2 linked regions of the Arabidopsis thaliana genome follow. The protein of the gene in region 2 interacts with the protein of the main gene of each other region in a pairwise test. Each region holds a gene or a part of one and is shown on either strand. Other genes may lie near its edges. The genes, in order: AT4G00130 and AT1G75490.

Evidence for each region.
Region 1: the proteins of AT1G75490 (region 2) and AT4G00130 interact in a two-hybrid assay, tested with the Arabidopsis thaliana proteins (one large-scale study listed by BioGRID).

The regions. Positions count from the first base shown.
Region 1 is NC_003075.7:46,321-49,767, forward strand, and holds AT4G00130 (DNA-binding storekeeper protein-related transcriptional regulator), read left to right. Parts: upstream 1-1,793; 5' UTR 1,794-2,093; coding exon 2,094-2,186; intron 2,187-2,256; coding exon 2,257-2,748; downstream 2,749-3,447.
Region 2 is NC_003070.9:28,333,461-28,337,601, forward strand, and holds AT1G75490 (Integrase-type DNA-binding superfamily protein), read left to right. Parts: upstream 1-2,041; 5' UTR 2,042-2,584; coding exon 2,585-3,205; 3' UTR 3,206-3,530; downstream 3,531-4,141. UniProt on the Arabidopsis thaliana protein: Putative transcriptional activator that binds specifically to the DNA sequence 5'-[AG]CCGAC-3'. Binding to the C-repeat/DRE element mediates high salinity-inducible transcription.

The sequences.
Region 1 (3,447 bases), on a different chromosome or scaffold from region 2:
AAAATTTTAGTATGATTTTTTTTTGGAAATAAATAAATATTCCCTATCCCATTAGTGGCCATCAGTTGTCATTTTTTGTTTCTCCAAAATCATAATCTTCGGCGACAAACAATGATTAGATCTTCATTTTTACGATCATGTTAGTGATTTAATGGACTTGTTAGTGATTTTGTCTTCATTTTATATTATGTTAGTGATTTTTATCGACTTGTTAGTGATATTTTTTTTCCATTTTTACGTGCATGTTAGTACTTTTTGAGGGGACGGGTAGAAATCACTAACATAAACGAAAAATGAAAAAAAGTTTACTAACAAGTCGGTTAAAATCACTAACATAAACGTAAAATACAGACACAATTACTAATAAGTCGATTAAAATTACTAACTTTAACGTAATAATGAATAAATAACTGTTTTTTGTTTCGATTTTTGTCATCAGAAATTATGATTTTCTATTCGATTTTTGTCGTCGGAGATTATGATTTTGTAGACGCAAAAATGAAAACTGATATACACTAAGCTACTAACAAGATTATAAAATTGTTTATATAATAATTTCCTTAAAACAAATCTAACTCAAAATAATGCATATTATAATTTTTAATAGTTATTTAAAGTATATATATAACTAACCGGAAAAATAACCGTATATAGTTTTACGGAAATTTACGATAAAAGATACAACCGAAGAAAATCAACCGCCAATATTAATGAAAAGTCACGACAAAAAGTAACCATTAATATTTTAATAAAAAATTGTGCTAAAAAATACAACGGATAGATAACAGTCAATAAGATAACAGAAAATAACGATAAAAAGACACTAACAAAAAAAGTGTCAATTAATATTTTAACGAAAAGTTGCGATGAAAAGACTCAACAAAAAAAATAACCATCAATATTATAACCGAAAGTTGCAATGAAGAGACACAACCGAGGAAAAATAACCATCAATATTATAACCGAAAGTTGCAATGAAGAGACACAACCGAGGAAAAATAACCATCAATATTTTTACAAAAAGTTGTGATAACAACACAAACAAAAAATAACCGATAATATTAACGAAACATTACGATGATAAACACGAAAAAAAAAAACCCCATCAATATTTTAATGGAAATTTGCGATAAAAAGATAAAAAAAAACAAAAATAATCGTCAATATTATAACGTAAAGTTGCAATAAAGAGACAACCGAGGAAAGTAATCATCAATATTTTTATGAAATTTGTGATCAAAAGATACTAACAGAAAAAATAACCATAGATGTTAACGAAAAGTTATTATGAAAATAGAAAAATGAAAAGTTACGATAAAAAACACTAACAAAAAATAACCGTAAATGTTTACAGAAAGTTACGATGAAAAGACATGAATGAAAAAAATAACCGTCAATATTTTTTACGGAAAATTGCGATTAAATACACAACCTTTCAGAGTACAAAATGCATTTATTGAGATTGTTATTTATTATATTTTTTTTGTAAACTAGCGAGATTGTTATTATTAGTCGAATCAATATTGTAGGAAGAAGACCTAAAGACAAATTCGGAGGTCAATTAATAACGCGTTAAAGTATGTGAGGCACGTTCGAGTGGAATAGCGCGTTGGACAGCCCAACATGAATGAATGATCGACTTTTATTGAAAAAGCAAAACTAGGGCAAGAAAACGAAACGTCCACATTAGCCTATAAAATCACTAAACCTAAGAGCAAAGCACATTCACGGCGACTGGAAAGTAGAAAACCTTATTGCTTCCCGCAGATCTCTCTCTCTCTCTCTCGTAACTGTTTGTTCGATGGCACTGAAGAAGGCGGAAGAAGTGATCGAGAGCCCTCCTACTTCAAGTGAAGAAGAGGAATCTGGCTCATAATCTGAGTCTGAAGGCGAAACTGAATCGGAGCCCGAGCCCGAGTCCGAGCCTGCTAAGACGATCAAGCCGATGCCTGTCGTGACCAAACCAATTCCAGAGACGTCCGCGAATGTACCTGAGACTTCAACGGCTAAGCGTCCTTTGAAGGAAGCTGCTCCTGAAGCTATTAAGAAGCAGAAGACATCGGAAGTTGAGCATGTGAAGAAGCCGACAACTAATGATGAGGTTAAGAAGATTGCTGGAGAGGATGCTAAGAAGATGTTGTTTCAGAGATTGTTCAGTGAGGCTGACGAAATCGCTTTGCTTCAAGGTTTAATCGATTTCACATCTACCAAAGGAGATCCTTATGAGATATTGATGCTTTTTGCATTTATGTGAAGAAACTGATCGAGTTCGATGCTACCAAAAACCAAATTGTTACTAAACTTCAGAGGTTGAAGAAGAAGTTTAATAACGCTGTGAAGAATGCGCGTAAGAAGGGTCAGACAGAAGATGAGGTCGAGTATGCTAAAGAGAGTGAGAAAAAACGTTTTGACTTGTCCATAATGATTTGGGGGAGCAACGGTGTTTTGGTTGCTGGTAAATCATCAAAGAAGAAAGTTGCACCCAAAGAGATGAAACCTGAAGAAACAGACGCAAAGGTTGTGAACGAAGGTCTCTCCATTGGTAGAGAGATGGTGCCGTTCGGGAGTTCTTGTGGTTTGGATGAATCTAAATTAACTACGGGTTGGGAAAATGTTGAGGATGGAGCTGAGAAGAGAGAAGTGGAGGAAAAATGGAAGAAGTTTAAGGATAAGCTGTTTGAGCTACTTTACGAGAGGTCTGTGCTTATGAACAAAACTGAAGCGATGATGTTCAAAGCTGAATCTTGAGCGGTTTGTCTTTTTATTTCTTATTATGCATTTTGAGTCTTTTTGTTAGCTTGTGGAACTAAATCCTTATCTAAGTCTTTTTCGTATTTTCTTTATGCCCCTATATAATGTTGGATGTTTGGTTTGGGTATAAAACCCTTTTATTTATTATTCTTGTTCGGTTTCTATGATATTAGACAGAAGATGGATTAGCCCTATTAGTTCTTCGACTTGTCAATGTGTGTTATCATATGCATACCTTGTGAAGTTCAGCTGGTGTTGGACTGCACTGTTAAGAGGCAAAATTCATAATCATATGTGTTAGCAATTTACATATCGATAAGATACCAGAATGGTACATGTCCCGAGACCCGAGTTAATGTTCTGCTTGATCGAGTTTCTACTGCTCTCCATGTCGTGGAGACATAACAGCGTTTTGTCACATTTTTTCCACAACCTGTTACAGTGTTCTGTGAGCTTTGATCTCCAGTCGAACATGAAAAAAACAACGTACTAAATAGTTGAGGCATGACTGTATTAAAAGGTCATAGTTCTCCTTATCCAAATCTTTTGTTTGTTTCGATTTTCTAGCCGGACATTTTTGCTTAGGAGTAGCAAAATGATAACTAATGAGCAAAGTTAAATATATTACTAAAGGAATAGAAGATATTTATTACTTACAAAAAAATCTCATCCTCATTCTTTTGAAAATGGAAGATT
Region 2 (4,141 bases):
AAACTTATTTTTTTTAATTCTATTTTTTATTATGAAAATGTTTTGTCTACAAAAAAAAACTTTTAATCACTAAAGTTTTTATTCTATAAATATTTTGGTTTAATGTTGAATTTCAATACATTGAAAACAAACCTGACTAAGCATCATCTCGTCCGTTTCTATGGGTCGTAAGAGGTCTTATTAGTTCAACCGCTTTTCACGTAATCAAATTTTTAACCCTTAGATTAATTTTATGATTTTTGTTAGAATATTTTTATTATGTAACTTATTTTTTAATTATATTTTATATTATGTAAAAGTTTTTATTACATAAAATATTTTGGTTTTCAAAATTTCTAAATGTTGAATTTTAATGAATTGAAAACAAACTGAACTAAGTATCACGTCTCATCCTGAAAGTCCGTTATAAAATTAACTCTTACATTAACTTTTATGGTTTTTGTTACAAAAATTTTTATTATGTAAACTTTTTTTCTTTACTTTATATTTTTGATTATGAAAATGGTATTTGAAAAGTTCAAATAAAAACCATTTTCAAATAATCTAAGTGATTGTTAAATTTCAATGCAATAAAAACTTCGTTAATATTACTCATTTACAAAGCTTCGGTTTTGCCGTTTTGGTAACCAATCTCAAAAGTCAGAAGTTATTTGCTAGAAAGACGAATCAAACACAGTTGTATCTTTTGAAATGATCTAATTCCAAAAAGATAAATTCAACAAGGGAAATCATGCAGGCTCCCTAAATGTAAATCAGAGTTACAAAACAAACACACACGACGACGAGTAACGAGTAAACTTCTTAGAAACGGGATCTTGGTTGTGTAAAAATGTAAACCTCGTCGAAACCCCTCCTGCAAGATTGTATGATCCAAAGACATCGTTAAAGGACATCATTGTCAACAACGAAAAACAAGAGAATTGTGCAAAGACTGTCCTTAGTGGCTTTACCCTGCGTAGTAAGTAGGCTTATAGTTGTATATGAGATTGCTCAGCACTTTCTTAGATGGTGTCTGTTCAGTGACGTCCTAGCTTCACTGCACCACATTCAACCGCAATCCATTGAGAAAACAAAAAATGTTGTTGGGAAAACTGTGAAAACGTTGATGAGGGTGATCTTACATTCTTACCTGACTAAATAACTAGCAGCATGCTGTGTCACCTGGATTGCATCCTCAGAGTGTGGAATCGCAGATGATCCCCATTCAAATGCATTTTTCTACAGAGAATTAATTTAGTGCATTAAGAGCTTTGTTTTTTTAGCTGTCAACACAGAATATAGTACTAGAAATATAAGTTTAATTGCATATCTTCAACATTTTTTATATTGTGGATATGTTAAAGTTATATAAGCAGACATCGGAGTCAAATCCATCATAACAAATTCCCAATCGAACAAGATAATTCATACTAAGTATCTCACTATTTTCTCGATCTACATAAATCATCTTCATTTCTCTTGCTAAATTTATTTTTTCAAAAAAAAAAAAATCCAAAACAAATTAATGGATTTTAGTTGCAATTACATTGATTTGGTAAATTATGTTTTGCAATTTCCATAATAATCTACTTGACATTGAACGACTTCAAATTTTTAAAAAGTTCTATCTGAGAATACTAGAGATAATATTTAGAACAAAAAATAAGTTAGATAAATTGGAACCGGAGCTTTGTAGTTATCGGTTAAAAAGGCCGCCTTTTCACGTGTGTCTCGGCCACAAATGTTCTAAGACAGAGAAGTAAGATTCAGTGAACTTTGTTTGTCTCTTATCGAGGAACCTTCGGGTCCCGTACGTTTAATTTGCGTGGACATATTGCCGCCACATGACTGACCCTTACACACATTCATACTTGTACTTTGCTATAATTTCCCACGTGGCAATTAAAAAGCCTGGAGAAATGGATAACATCAAGAAAGAAAATGGTGACTCTATGAACGAATTAAAAAAAAAACTACAATTCTTTCTCAATGTTTATGCATTAGATGATGATTCTTTTTTTACAAAAGGAGAGATTACATGACTCATAGAGAAAAGCTTTATAAATCTAAAGGCTTTTTAATTAAAAAAGTTTGTATATATAAGAAAAATCATGTATTTTTTTCTTTCTTTTTAGCTATTTGAAATTATAATTAAGTTAAAGCCATAGCTTGATTTTGTTTTCTGATGAATAAAGCCATAGCTTGATATTAGATAGAAGCATTCACATGACGAGCCATTAATTCATAGTGATAAATCTTTTTATATTTCCCCAATCGCGGATGACCTTATCCATATCTCTCTCTCTCTTTTCTTTTTTTTTTTGGAAAAATCTCAAACTCATCAATCTCTCTGCTGGTTTTACGATTACTGTTGCCAAAAAAAGAAGGGTCTCTCGAGACAAGTGTTAGGATTACAAACACAACACCAGCTTCCTCCTCTCGACACGACCCTCCGTCATGTCTGCGCCAGCTATATCTTCTCCTCGCCACGTTTCATCACTCTCTTCTAGTATATATACACACCTAACCATTACCTCATGTCTTTGCCTTATCACTCACCAAAAGTCGTCACATAATATCACTTTCGAGTTATCAACATCCGTACATGTCATCCATAGAGCCAAAAGTAATGATGGTTGGTGCTAATAAGAAACAACGAACCGTCCAAGCTAGTTCGAGGAAAGGTTGTATGAGAGGAAAAGGTGGACCCGATAACGCGTCTTGCACTTACAAAGGTGTTAGACAACGCACTTGGGGCAAATGGGTCGCTGAGATCCGCGAGCCTAACCGAGGAGCTCGTCTTTGGCTCGGTACCTTCGACACCTCCCGTGAAGCTGCCTTGGCTTATGACTCCGCAGCTCGTAAGCTCTATGGGCCTGAGGCTCATCTCAACCTCCCTGAGTCCTTAAGAAGTTACCCTAAAACGGCGTCGTCTCCGGCGTCCCAGACTACACCAAGCAGCAACACCGGTGGAAAAAGCAGCAGCGACTCTGAGTCGCCGTGTTCATCCAACGAGATGTCATCATGTGGAAGAGTGACAGAGGAGATATCATGGGAGCATATAAACGTGGATTTGCCGGTAATGGATGATTCTTCAATATGGGAAGAAGCTACAATGTCGTTAGGATTTCCATGGGTTCATGAAGGAGATAATGATATTTCTCGGTTTGATACTTGTATTTCCGGTGGCTATTCTAATTGGGATTCCTTTCATTCCCCACTTTGAGGTGTCACTAGACTCTCTTTAATTGTTAAGTTATCATATACAAACTACATATATATACAAATATAGTCACCGTGAACTAGGATATATATGTAAATAAACACCAGTTACATGTACTTATATATGTGCACATCTATATATGTGGTTTGTCTGTATAGTGTGAAAGCAGATTCTTACCATATCAAAAAAAACATAAAAACGACAGTTGTTTGTCTCGAAGCTAAAAATGTGTCATGGGGAAAACTATTAAATCAAGTGCAATGTATCTGTATAAAGAAAACGGGATGTTACGTTGTGTGTAACGGTCAATGTGTAACTATTATATGTCTCTGTTTCTATGGGCTTTTAAGTCTTTGACTATTCTCTTGGTTTTCTTTGCATCTTCTTCTTAGCTTCTCTTTGTACTAACGTGTAATCCTCGCGAGTCTTGATAGACTATATGGCGTGGTTTATAACAAACCTGGCCCGTTTATTCCGGCCCAACATCATTATATCTCGGCTTATATATGGTCTCCAGTCTCCAATAACGGGCTATATATGATTTAACTAATGGATTCAAATACGAAATCTTGAATCCACATGGTAGACTAACCTATGCCAGATAACGATTATGAGACAAAGTCGCTTATGCACTGTGTTTTTCCTTATGTATATGAATTTCTTTTGTTAATGAAATTTATTTGTATAAGGTAAATAAGATATGAAATTCTGTTAATGAACTTCTTGTTTACATCAAATTAAAAGATGATATTTTATATGTAAAAAGCTGACGTGTAAGCTGATCCGAGAAAACCAAGAAAGATAATGTAGAGCATTGAAGTGTATATGTGAAATTTTTAACACGTTCTCCTTAAAATAATGCTTTTATCCGTCTATTTCAAACAAAATTCTAATATTGGACCAAAAATTATATATCGAACAACACATCTTTCTCAAGTT